2 linked regions of the Anolis sagrei genome follow. The protein of the gene in region 1 interacts with the protein of each later gene in a pairwise test. Links are inferred from orthologs where the notes say so. Each region holds a gene or a part of one and is shown on either strand. Other genes may lie near its edges.

Region 1 (6,998 bases):
CCCTGCTTTGGGGAGATAGGGTGGGTTATAAAGTTTATTATTATTATTATTATTATTATTACTGTTTTATAAAAAATAGTTTTAAAGTTTTAAAAATGTATTTTAGTGTATAGAGGGGAGGACCAGGGCACTTTGAATGGTGGCTAATCCACTTGTATTTTATGTTATGAGACATCTTAAACAAAGCAGCGATGTCAGCCATTTTTACTGTAATGCAGTGGTTCTCAACCAAGTGTTTTGGCCTACAACTCCCAGAAATCCCAGTCAGTTTACCAGCTGTTAGGAATTCTGGGAGTTGAAGCCCAAAACATCTGGGGACCCACAGGTTGATAACCACTAATGTAATGTATCTTAACTTGCTTTTAGAGTGTATATTGAAATATTTACTTATGTTTTTGTTTTTATGTCTTAGTGGATTGTCCTTGTTTTTATTTTATTTCAATGCTTTTATTTTAATTTTTTATTATATTTGAGATTTAATTCCTTTGTTGTAAGTTTACCCTCCATCACCCTGTATTATTTTGATGTGTTTGTACCCATTTTGAGGCATTGAATGTTTGCCTTTTTATATGTAAACCGCCTGAGTCCCTCTGAGGAGAGATGGTGGTCTAGAAATAAAGTTCATTATTATTATTACATATTATTTCTTCAACTTTTTGCCAGGGTTGATCTGAGTCTATTGTATGATGTTTTTCAATAATTTTATGTATGAAACAAAATCAATGTATGTTAAAGCATCAGAAAGCAAGTGTTTTATATAAGCAATATATAGATTGATACAAACATATATACACATATGGATTTATGAACCCATATTTTCTTAGCCAGCTATTTGGACAATCCTATCTTAGCCGGCCATTTGGACAATTGCGCTTTCTGATTTCCAGATAAGGGGTGCTGGCCCTGTTACAGTGGAGTCTCGCTTATCCAACCTTGCTCATCCAATGTTCTGTATTACCCAACGCAGTTTGCCTCCCACCCAGATCCACAGCTGTTTCAATACATTGCAATGTTTTGGTGCTAAATTTGTAAATACAGTAATTACTACACAACGTTACAATGTATTGAACTGCTTTTTCTGTCGATTTGTTTAAAACAGGGGTCCTCAAACCTTTTTTGTGACCAGAATTCCAGAAATGAATTTATTTCAGTAGAAGTCTGCACAAAGACCTGCCATAAGCATTATGTGGCTACAGAGGGCCAAGTCACAGTCTCTCAAACTGTTGGAGGGCCGGATTATAATTTGAAAAAAAGACATGAATGAATTCCTATGCACACTGCACGTATCTTATTTGCAGTGCAAAAAAAACCCACTTAAAAACAATACAATAATTAAAATGAAGAACAATTTTAGCAAATATAAACTTATTAGTATTTCAATGGGAAGTGTGGTTGATGAGATAGGATTGTTGTTGTTGTGTGCTTTCAAGACATTTCAGATTTAGGTTGACACTGAGTGAGGGCTGGATAAATGACCTTGGAGGGCCGCATCTGGCCCTCGGGCCTTAGTTTGAGGACCCCTGGTTTAAAACATGTTTTGGTACTTAATTTGTAAAATTATAATGTAATTTTACATTTATAAACTTTTCCTTCATCCCTTATTATCCGACATTCTGCCAGCCCGTTTATATTGGATAAGCGAGACTCTATTGTATTTAGAAGCCTTTTGTTCCTGTCAGGGGGTGGCAGTGCGACATCACAGGATGCCTCAAATATAAATATATACAACATTTATTACCACTCACAAAAATAATCACAAAGGAGGAATAATAATGCTTGGTGGATTATCTCCAGAATCTTTCAACATTCAATCCGTTTTGGGAGGAGTTGACATGAGACACAAATATTCCTCATATATAATATATATATCTGAAAGGAGATAAGTAAGGAAAGGGGACAGAAAGGAGGTGAAACACCTCATGTTTTATTGTTCACAGCCATATTATGTAAACCTTCGCACGTCTCATAATGTCAGGCCCCTTTCACCCAGTTGAATAAAATCCCACATTTTCTGCTTTATATATATGGGACATATGGCAGTGTGTGGACTCAGATGTCCCCGTTCAAAGCAAACATTGTTGGATTTTCTGCCTTGGTATTCTGGTTTATATGGCTGTATGGAAGGGCCCTCGGTTTACAGGTGAAAAGGGAATCTGAAACAACGGAAAGGCGACAAGGAGGAGGAAGGGCCTTTCCCTCAGGGTTGGCTTTCCTTCCCCGCGGGCTGAGGGCCAAAGGAGCCCAAGCCGCACTCGAGGAAGGGGGGGAGGGAGGGGCACTTGGGAGGAGGAGAAGCACAAGCAGCTGCTGCCTCTCTCCCCGCTGCTCCAGGTCTATCGGAATGTCCCTGAAAGCGGCCCCTTTAAATCTCGCCCTCCTCTGCCTCTGCTCTTCCCCCCCCCCACCCCCCGCGTCGCCTCGCGCCACAAACAGCTGTTGCCCTTTTCTCTCCCCTCCTCCTCCCCCTCCTCCACCCCCTGAGGCGCGCGACACCTTCGTTCCCGGGCGCGCGCGCGCTCCCGCCGACTCCCCCTCCCCCTCCTACAAGAGCAACGGCTGTTCCAGAATTTTCCTCACTCCCCCTCCCTCGCGCCTGCCTGCCTGCCTGCCGACGCCCCTCGGCCAACCCCCCCTCCCTCCCGCCCCGCCACTCGAGGATGCCCCCGCCCTGCTGTTCCGTATGTCGGCCTCGCCTCCCCCGCCCCACACCCCCGGGTCCGTTTGCGCGGCTCAGCCAAGGCGGCCGGCACTGGCGGCGGCGGCGTCGGGCGCGCCGTGATGGATGGATGGCTGGCTGCTTGGCTGGCTGGCTAGGAGCAGGTTTGAGTGACAGCGCTTACCTTGGGTGCCAATCTTCGTCACACTGACAAGCGGCTGCAGCAATCGGGACCCGCACCGCCGCGACGCGCGTCACCGCGCACACACGCCCTCGTCCAATCGGGAGCCACGCCGGGCTGACACGACAGCACGCTCCGCGAGACGCCTCATCAATATTCAGCGAAGGAGTGGGCGACGTCGCGCTTGGAGGTACGCCCACCTCGGCGCCGGCCTAGGCTGGAAGGGGCGGGGCCTTCCCCTCCACGGGCCCGCCCCATCGGGGCCTCGGCGCGCGACCGCCTCGGGTTTATGAATACTCATGAGGTGGGCGGGTTGGCCACGCCCCCTCTCCCAGGCCTTTAATAGGTTCCTTCGGCTTGAGGGAAGCTGCGCGTGACGTCATGAGGCCTTATCGTAAGGCTAAGTGGCCAGCAGGTGGGTCGCAGCGCCCATCACTGTCGCGACACGATGGGCTACCCAGTACTCCCATTCTCTTTAAAGGAATGTGCAGGCAACAAAGGGAAAGAGGAGCAAGGGACTGTTAACGGCTTAGGATTCCTCTGCTCCTCTCACGCCCTCTCTCTATATATGAATACATGGGCAAATTTCGGCATCTGAGGCAGGCCTGGCCAAACTCTAGCCCTCCATCTGTTTTGGACTTCAACTCCCACAATTCCTAACAGCCCCAGGCCCTTTCCTTTTCCCTCTCAGCTGCTTAAGCGGCCTGAGGCTGTTAGGAATTGTGGGAGTTGAAGTCCAAAACAGATGGAGGGCTAGAGTTTCCCACACCCGCTGTATATGATGCCGTGGAATTATAAATTAAAAAATAAATGAATTTTGAAACCCTTTGTAACTTTTAGCGCACCTGGTATTGAAACCCCTTTGTGACTTTTGACCCACTGGGTATATACACATACACACATTTATATAAACAATATATACATTGATAAATACACACACACATATATACATATACACACATACGGATTTATGAACCCATATTTTATATGCATGTTTACATCTGAATGAATACATATATATTTATTTACATACAGATAAGGGTAATGGAGAGGGTCTTATAGCAACCCTTTCCTGGTTGCCCAAATTTAACTGTTGAAATACATTGAGATCTGTAACAATGTGATTCCTTTCAGAAGGAAAAAAGTGAAAATCATTATACCTGTGGTTTTAAAACAGTGTTGGTTGGGGGCAGGAAATGATACGAAACATGCAGATGTGAGTAGCTCAATAGGTACCGCTTCTGCGAGAAGGTAATGATGTTCCCTGCAGTCATGCTGGCCACATGACCATGTCTATGGACAACACCAGCTCTTCGACTTAGAAATTGAGATGAGCACCACCCACCGGAGTCGAACACAACTAGACTTAATGTCAGGAAAACATTTACCTTTACTTTTTAATGTAGGCTTATTTGAAATTCAGGCCACAGAGCTTAGTGCAGTGTTTCCCAACCTTGTTTTTTTTTTTTTTTTTTTACCAGGGACCACCCTTCAACATTAGTTCCAAAAGGGTTAAGAATCAGTTTTGGTCAATTTTAGATCCAGTTCTAGATTCATCGCTGAGCCTGGAGCCCCAGGTTTCGGCGGTGGTCAGGGGAGCTTTTGCACAATTAAAACTTGTGCGCCAGCTGCGCCCGTACCTTGGGAAGTCTGACTTGGCCACGGTGGTCCACACTTTGGTTACATCCCGTTTAGACTGCTGCAACGCTCTCTACGTGGGGTTGCCTCTGAAGACTGGCCGGAAGCTGCAGCTAGTCCAACGCTCGGCAGCCAGACTACTAACGGATGCTGGGTACAGGGAGCACACCACTCCGCTGTTACACCAGCTCCACTGGCTGCCAATTAGCTTCCGAGCACAATTCAAAGTGCTGGTGTTAACCTATAAAGCCCTAAACGACTCCGGCCCTGTTTACCTCTCTGAATGTATGAACCATCAAGATTATTAAGATCGTCTGGAGAGGCCCTGCTCTCAGTCCCACCGGCCTCGAGTGGGATCAGAACCGCCCCTTCTAGCCTGACATTTAGGAAACAGGTGAAGACTTGGTTATGGAGACAGGCATTTGACGAGTGAGCCAACACCCTGAGATATGGATGGAGGATGATGAGCAGCGATTTTAGTGTAACGACTGACCATTATAGTTATTGATTGTAATTGCTGTTTTAATGTTTTACTGTAATATGTATTGCGATGTTTTATTGATTGTATGTGATATTATGGTTGGAAACTGGTCTGAGTCCCTCAAGAGAGGTGAGAAGACCGGTATACAAAACTTTTAAATAAATAATATTTGGGGTGTTGATTCAGAAAATTGCATTGGATAGACCACATCAGCTCTAGTTTCTGATACAGAACATATGCCATCCAGGAGTCGCCATCTGCTCACCCATATTTAATAATCTAGAGCTGATGTGATCTATGCAATGCAATTTTCTGAATCAGCACCCCAAATAACCCCAGGAACAGGGCTAAAAATGACACCAAGGTGCCTCTGTTTCCAGGCGCCACATGGAACAGCTCCGTTCAGGTAGAGGGAGGAAGAGGAAAAGCAGCAGTCAGGAGGTTTGTCACACCTTTCGTTGGTAGTCAGCCTCTCCCTTCCTGACATACCCATTGCTTCAGCACTATAAGAGGATTTTGTAAGTCCAGTCGTTCTCATTGCTACATGTCATATTTTCGTTCTTGGAGACCATTGATGGTCCATGGACCACAGGTTGGGAACCACTGGTTTCATGAGAGGCCTGTGCGAAGAATTCCAGCTGACAGTTTGCTAAGTAGTGAGCCCTCCCTGTGTGTCTTTATGGATAAGAGAGAGTGTGTGTATATAATAACCTTGATTTTGCCATTATATGTCTACAGATTTTGCATCAATGGATTCAATCAATCACAGCATGAAAAAAAAATGAGAGTTGCTTTTTGGAATTTTATATGGTATATGCACAATTCCAATAAGCAACTCTGGATTTTGCCATCTATGTGTTTCATTATCCATGGTATGTGTTTGTGTGTCTGTCTCTAAAAATCAAACCCGAGCTTGTTTTCTTTTCAGGGTTGCTTGGGAGCCAACTTACCACATATCTACCTGGAAGTACACAATCCCAAAACACTGTACTCATTCAAAATTAGAGTGTGTTACCCATCATAAAACCTTGGAGCTGTTTTTGTATCCTCGGAGTCCACTTTGACAAATTTATGGATGAAACAATAGTAGTAGATACTTTTCATATTAACTTTCTGGGGCGTCAGTGCTTTTACTAGAGGGTACCCATAACTTCAAATTAGAAATTCCCAATATGAATAACTAAGAAGTTTAATGTGGTTAAAATAGTATGTAGAGGTCATTTTAATGACTCTGTGCTCATTTCTATGCAAGTGGATAAACATGTTTTTGCAAAGAGTTAGAGACTTGTTAAAATAAACACTAAAAATCAATAGAGATGTGGAACATTCATTTTTTTAGTTGTTAAATTCTTTGTATTTATAGAATCATGTACTGTATCTGGCTATGAAATACAAAAAGGTGAGAATAAAAGATAATTTAGTCATCTTATGTTTTGTATTCTGACTTTTGGATTTAACTGCTGTTTTATTTTCCAATACATTAATACACCAATAACTTATATCTGTGAATATTTCCCTAATCTGTTGTCTATGAAGACCTATTCATAACGAACTAGTTCATGACCTAAATATTGCAACAACATTACTGTGATTCACAAAAATGTGTAATCTATGAATTGGAAAAAGTGACCTGAATTCAGCAACACCCAATGCTAAATAACACTCATTTTAAAACTACTGTTTTACAATGTTGCACCATTTTGTTCTTGGTACAGTTTGTTTCTAATCATTAAGTTTAACAATATAGCATTTGTTGGCATTGTCATCATATTGTAGGTATTTCACAATGGCTGGAATTCTCAGAATAATAGGATATTCAGCTTTGAGTCTCCTTGTGGAGAGAAAAAATGGGATATAAATAAACAGAAGGAGAACTTAATATTATTGGTTTCATCATATCCATATACTAATAAGATATGAGTAACACATTTTTATTACAAAAATACAGTAAGAAGCTGAACACTGATTTAAAATGAACCAAGCACCAGACATAACAAGTCTGGTTACTTGGCTCACACTTAAGTGAATGTGAAAGGCCTTGT
Region 2 (7,217 bases), on another chromosome or scaffold:
GGGCCCCTAGGTTATCCGAGTCCACACTGCTATATATTCCAGTTCAGAGCAGATAATGTGGGATTTTATCCAGCTGTGTAGAAGGGGCCCAAGTGCTTCTCCAAGAGCCCAATCCGACACCCCAAGGTCTTTGGTAATCTCCAAGTGCAAGACCTCATCACACTAGAGATTGAATGCACTATAAATCCTGTTGCTGCCCATAGGAAACTTTCCTTCCCCTGAACTATCCCAATTCATTCCTTTTTCCCCCTCCCAATCCCCTCCTTTATTTTAAGATTGTAGTTGTAGAAAAGCATTCAATAAAATTTATATTAAAATTCAGTTTCTGCCTCCTGCAGAATTCTGGGGTTTGTAGTTTAGGGAGGAGCCTTTAACAGCCTCACTAAAATACAAACCCCAGAATTCTGAAGGAAGAAACTTGATTTAAACTGCGATGAAGTAGCAAGAGTTTAGTGTGGGGTTGAGACCAGTCTTTGCTTTCCAAGCACTCCTCAAACATCCCAGCTTGGCACCCCACATCCCTAAAAATCTCCAAGTGCAAAAACAAAACAAAACAAAACCCCCAAGGCTTTGGTGTGGGCTTGAGCCCAACCTGACACCCCAAGGCCTTTGGTAATCTCCAAGTGCAAAATCCTAACAGACAAGCAAGGCTTTAGTGTGGGGTTGAGACCAATCTGTCCTTTCCAAGCACTTCTCAAACATCCTCACATCCTTGAAAACCGCCAAGCGCAAAAACTAAACAAAACATGGATTTGGTGTAGGCTTGATCCCAATCCTGGGTTTCCAAGTGCTTGTCCAAGAGCCCAAAAGGGTACCCAAAGGCCTTTGATAATCTCCAAGTGCAAAAACCCAACAAAAAACCAAGACTTTAGTTTGAGGTTGAGACCAATCTGTCCTTTCCAAGCACATCTCAAACATCCTCACATCCTTGAAAATCAACAAGCACAAAAACAAAACAGAACCCCAAGTCTTTGGCATGGGCTTGATCCCAATCCTGGGTTTCCAAGTGCTTCTCCAAGAGCCCAAACCAACACCCCAAGGCCTTTGGTAATCTTCAAGTGCAAAAACCAAAGACTTTAGTGTGGGGTTGAGACCAATCTTTCCTTTCTAAGCCCTTCTCAAACATCCCAGCCTGGCACCCCACATCCTTGAAAATCTCCAAGCCGAAAAACAAAACAAAACATGGCTTTGGTGTGGGCTTGATCCCAATCTTTGGTTTCCCAGTGATTCTCCAAGAGCCCAAAAGAATACCCCAAGGTCTTTGGTAATCTCCAAGTGCAAAAACCAAACATCTAAGAAAGACTTTAGTGTGGGGTTGAGACCAATCTTTCCTTTCCAAGCACTTCTTATACATTCCCAGATCCTTGAAAATCGCCAAGTGCAAAAACAAAACAAAACAAGGCTTTGATGTGGGTTTGATCCCAACCCCGGGTTTCCAAATGTTTCTCCAAGAGCTCAATCTGTTATCCCAAGGCCCCTAAAATCTCTAAACCTAGAAACAAAACAAAACTCCAAGGGTTTGGTCTGGGCTTGATCCCAATCCTGTGCTTCCAAGTGCTTCTCCAAGAGCCCAAAAGGATATGCCAAGGCCTTGGGTAATCTCCAAGTGCAAAAACCTAACAGAAAACCAAGACTCGCGTGTAGGGTTGAGACTAATCTTTCCTTTCCAAGCCCTTCTCAAACATCCCCACATCCCTGAAAATTGCCAAGTGCAAAAACAAAACAAAGCAAGGCTTTGATGTGGGCTTGATCCCAATCCTGGGTTACCAAATGCTTCTCCATCTGATACCCCAAGGCCTTTGGTAATCTCCAAGTGCAAAAAAACCCAACAGATAAGCAAGACTTGAGTGTGGGGTTGAGACCAATCTTTCCTTTTCAAGCATGTCTCAAACATCCCCACATCCTTGACAATCTCCAAGCACAAAAACAAAACAAGACATGGATTTGGTGTGGGCTTGATCCCAATCCTGGGTTACCAAGTACTTCTCTAAGAGTCCAATCTGATACCCCAAGGCCCCTGGAAATCTCCAAAAGTAAAAAAACAAACAAAACAAAACAAAACCCCAAGGCTTTGGTGTGGGCTTGATCCTAATCCTGGGTTTCCAAGTGCTTCTCCAAGAGCCCTAACGGATAACCCCATGGGTCCTGGAAATCTCCGAGCACAGAAAAACCCCTTTGGTGTGGGTTCGGGCCCAATCCTGGATTTCCAAGTGCTTCTCCAAGAGCCCAACCTGATACTCCAAGGCCCCTGGAAATCTCCAAACGCAAACAAGGGGGAAAGCGCGACTTTGGTGTGGAGTGGCGCCACTCCAAGTACCCCACACTTTCCCCCAAGTAAACCCTCCCTTTTGCCTTGAGTTTTTCCCCACACAAAGGGTCCCATTCCCAACCCTCACCCCCAACTCGGCGCCCTTCCCCCAAAAGGCCAGGAGGGGGTAACCAACTTTGCCTGGGCTTCGTCCAAGCTTTGGTCCGTGATGGTCATGATCTGCTGGAGGATGTCCCCGATGTCCTGCTTGCGGGGCTCTCCGTTGTCCGAGGGGGGCTCGTGGAGGGCGTGCGGGGCCATGGCCTGGACCCCCGGCACCGAGGGGTGGCCCGGCAGACCCACGGGGCCCCGGGCCTGGATCAGCCGCCCTTGCTCGTCCATCCTCGCCGCCGACAAGGACCACCCAAAGCACACAAGGCGCGCCGAGGAGGAGGAGGAGGACGAGGACGAGGAGGAGGGCGCGCACAAAACAAGTCTCCCCGCAAGACGCACAACCACACACACGCGCACACACAAAGGCGTCGGTCTGGGGGCTGCTTGCTCCTCTTTCTCCCCCAAGTCAAGGAAAAAAGGGGGAGTGGGTGAGCAGAAGAAGAAAATAGAGAGAAAAGGCTGGTTATTCCATCTTGGATGCGCGCTCCCAGGGCCCCTTTCCTTGGAGACTTTGGGGCTGGGAAAATGGAGTCCCGCACAAGGGCTGGGGGAGGAGCTGGTGGAGAGGGGGAGGGAAGCACAGGAGGAGGAGGGAAAAGGAGGAGAGGAGGCTCGCTTTCCCCTCTTCCCAGCCCTCCCTCCTTCCCTGCTTCCTTCCCTCCCTCCCTCCTCTTTCCTTCTCTTTCCAAGCAGGCCTCCCCTTTGGCGCCCTGGTGGGAGAGAGAGAGAGAGAGAGGTGGGGGCCCAAGGCTGGCCTCTCCCTCCCTCCTTCCCTCTCTCCTTCCTTTCTTCCTTCTCCCTCCTTCTCTCTCTCTCTCTTTCTCTCTGCTCTGCCCTCCGCTGGATGGTTGCAAGGCAAGTCCTGGAGAAGAGGAGGAAGGAGAAAGAAGGAAAAAATAGGCTAGCTAGAACAGTGGCTCTCAATCTTCCTAATACCACCACCTCTTCATACAGTCCCTCATGCTCCCCCTCTATTCTGCTTTGGTTAGACCACACCTGGGATATTGTGTCCAATTCTGGGCACCACAATTCAAGAGAGATATTGACAAGCTGGAATGTGTCCAGAGGAGGGCGACTCAAATGATCAAGGGTCTGGAGAACAAGCCCTATGAGAAGCGGCTTAAGGAGCTGGGCATGTTTAGCCTTCAGAAGAGAAGGCTGAGAGGAGATATGATGTTGTTGTTCATTCGTTCAGTCGTCTCCGACTCTTCGTGACCTCATGGACCAGTCCACACCAGAGCTCCCTGTCGGCCGTCACCACCCCCAGCTCCTTCAAGGTCAGTCCAGTCTCTTCAAGGATGCCATCCATCCATCTTGCCCTTGGTCGGCCCCTCTTCCTTTTGCCTTCCACTTTCCCCAGCATAATTGTCTTCTCTAGGCTTTGCTGTCTCCTCATGATGTGGCCATGGAGATATGATAGCCATGTATAAATATGTGAGAGGAAGTCATAGGGAGGAGGGAGCAAGCTTGTTTTTTGCTTCCTTGGAGACTAGGACGCGGAACAATGGCTTCAAACTACAAGAGAGGAGATTCCACCTGAACATGAGGAAGAACTTCCTGACTGTGAGAGCCGTTCAGCAGTGGAACTCTCTGCCCCAGAGTGTGGTGGAGGCTCCTTCCTTGGAAGCTTTAAAACAGAGGCTGGATGGCCATCTGTCAGGGGTGATTTGAATGCAATATTCCTGCTTCTTGGCAGGGGGTTGGACTGGATGGCCCATGAGGTCTCTTCCAACTCTATGATTCTATTGTGAGGACCCCCAACCATAAGATTATTTTCGTTGCTACTCCACAATTCTAATTTTGCTTCTGTTATTAATCATAATGTAAATATTTGATATGCAGCTGCGCCTTGGGAAGCCTGGTCTGGCCACAGTGGTCCACGCTTTGGCTACATCCTGAATAGATTACTGTAACGCGCTCAACATTGGGCTGCCTTTGAAGACTGCTCGGAAACTTCAACTCAGGGGTCTTCAAACTAAGGCCTGGGGGCTGGATGCAGTCCTCCAAGGCCATTTACCCGGCCCTCGCTCAGGGTCGACCTAAGTATGAAACTACTTTAAAGCACACAACAACAACAATCCTATCTCATCAGCCAAAAGCAGGCCCACACTTCCCATTGAAAGACTAATATGTTTATATTAGTTAAAATTGTTCTCCATTTTAATTATTGTATTGTTTTAAAAAAATTGCACTACAAATAAGATATATGCAGTGTGCATAGGAATTCATTCATTTTTTTTTCCAAATTATAATACGGCCCTCCAACAATTTGAGGGACTGTGACCTGGCCCTCTGTTTAAAAAGTTTGAGGACCTCTGCTTCAACTAGTCCAACGGGCAGAAGCTAGACGACTCACTGGAGCATCATACAGAGAGCATACCACCCTCTGCTCCACTGGCTGCCGGTCCAATTCTGAGCACAATTCAAAGTGTTGGTTTTGACCTTCAAAGCCCTATGCGGCTCCAGCCCAGCTTACCTGTCCGAACCTATCTCCCTCTACGTTCCACCTCAAAATTTAAGATCTTCTGGGGAGGCCCTGCTCTCGGCCCTGCCTTTGGCACAAACATGTTTGGTGGGGATGAGGGACAGGGCCTTCTCAGTGGTGGCCCCCCACCTGTGGAACTCACTCTCCAGCGAAATCAGGTCAACAACATCCCTCCTTGTCTTCAGGAGGAAATTGAAAACTTGGTTATGGGACCATGCCTTTGGGTAGCTGGCAGATAATTGACAATGGTAATAATGATAATGTTCTCTGTTTCCCAATGACTAATATACAGGGTATCCCAAAAGTCTCCATACATAGGAAAAAATAAAACACTCATATAATGTTATATTTTAATGTTTTATGTTTATAAATATTTCTTATACTTTCAGATAGCCTAAAAGAATACTATCCTCAAAAGAAGAGCTTAATAAATATTTTGTCAATAAAGGTTTAGTGTGTTGTCAAAGGCTTCCATGGCTAGAATCACAGGGTTGCTGTGAGTTTTCTAGGCTGTATGGCCATGTTCCAGAAGCATTCTCTCCTGATATTTCACCCACATCTATGGCAGGCATCCTCAGAGGCTGTGGGGTCTGTTGGAAACTAGGCAAGTGGGCTTTATATATCTGTGAAATGTCCAGGGTGAGGGAAATAACTGTTTGAGGCAAGTGTGAATGTTGCAATTGGCCACCTTGATTAGCACTGACTGGCTTTGCAGTTTCAAAGCCAGGCTGCTTCTTGCCTGGTAGAATCGTTTGTTGGGAGGTGTTAGCTGGCCATGATTATTTCCTGTCTGAATTCATGTACTTTTTGAGAGTTGCTCTTTATTTACTGTCCTGATTTTAGAGTTTTTAAAATGCTGGTAACCAGATTTTGTTCATTTTCATGGTTTCCCCCTTTTCTGTTGAAATTGTCCATAAGCTTGTGTATTTCAATGGCTTCTTGTGTAGTCTGACATGGGGGTTGTTAGAGTGGTTGTTAGAGTACATTTAGCTACAAGTTCCCATTTTTCCCAATGGCGACTTTTGGAGCACAGTGAAGAGCTCTGCAAGGGAAAAAATGCAAAAAGGCAGCTTAGGAGGTAGCCATAGGTACAATGACCAATCTGGATAAAATAGTGAAGAGTACAGACATCACACTGCCCATGAAGAAATGCATAGTTAAAGCAATGGTATTCCCCATAGTAACCTATGGATGTGAGAGCTGGACCATAAGGAAGGCTGAGTGAAGGAAGATAGACGCTTTTGAACTGTGGTGTTGGAGGAAAGTTCTGAGAGTGCCTTGGATCGTGAGAAGATCCAACCAGTCCATACTTCAGGAAATAAAGCCCGACTGCTCATTCGAGGGAAGGATAGTAGAGGCCAAGATGAAGTATTTTGGCCACATAATGAGAAGACAGGAAAGCTTAGAGGAGACAATGATGCTGGGGAAAATGGATGGAAAAAGGAAGAGGGAACTACCAAGGGCAAGATGGATGGATCATATCTTTGAAGTGACTGGCTTGACCTTGAAGGAGCTGGGGGTGGCCACAACCGACAGGGAGCTTTGGTGTGGTCTGGCCCAGGAGGTCACAAAGAGTCCAACGCGACTGAACAAATAAACAACAACAAATCTCTAGATCAGTGTTTCTCAACCTGGGGGTTGGGACCTCGGGGGGGGGGGGGTCATGAGCGGGGTGTCAGAAGGGTCACCAAAGACCATCAGAAAACACAGTATTTTCTCTTGGTCATGGGAGTTCCGTGTGGGAACTTTGTCCCAATTCTATCATTGGTGGGATTCAGAATGCTCTTTGATTGTAGGTGAATTATAAATCCCAACAACTACAACTCCCAAATGTCAAGGTCTATTTTCCCAAAACTCCAACAGTGTTCACATTTGGGCATATTGAGTAGTCGTGCTAAGTTTGGTCTGGATCCATAATTATTTGAGTCCAGAGTGCTTTCTGGATGTAGGTGAACTACAACTCCAAAACTCAAGGTCAATGCCCACCAAACCCTTCCAGTATTTTCTGTTGGTCATGGGAGTTCCATGTGCCAAGTTTGGTTCAGTTCCACCACTGGTGGAATTCAAAATGCTCTTTGTTTGTAGGTGAACTATAAATCCCAGCAACTACAACTCCCAAATGACAAAATCACCCCCCCCCCCAACCTCACTAGTATTCAAATGTATTGGGTATTTGTGCCAAATTTGGTCCAGTGAATGAAAATCCATCCTGGACATCTGATATCCATAATTATTTGAGTCCACAGTGCTTTCTGGATGTAGGTGAACTACAACTTCAAAACTCAAGGTCAATGCCCACCAAACCCTTCC

Evidence for each region. The genes of interacting proteins can lie anywhere in the genome.
Region 2: the proteins of PKNOX1 (region 1) and pre-B-cell leukemia transcription factor 2 interact in binary tests that used the Homo sapiens proteins (3 or more experiments, as listed by UniProt). The link is inferred for Anolis sagrei from reciprocal best matches to the Homo sapiens genes PKNOX1 and PBX2.

Annotation. Positions count from the first base shown.
Region 1 is NC_090023.1:75,239,242-75,246,239, reverse strand, and holds the start of PKNOX1 (homeobox protein PKNOX1), read right to left. Parts: upstream 3,022-6,998; 5' UTR 2,841-3,021; intron 1-2,840. UniProt on the Homo sapiens protein: Activates transcription in the presence of PBX1A and HOXA1.
Region 2 is NC_090022.1:16,307,263-16,314,479, reverse strand, and holds the start of pre-B-cell leukemia transcription factor 2, read right to left. Parts: upstream 3,011-7,217; 5' UTR 2,651-3,010; coding exon 2,445-2,650; intron 1-2,444. UniProt on the Homo sapiens protein: Transcriptional activator that binds the sequence 5'-ATCAATCAA-3'. Activates transcription of PF4 in complex with MEIS1.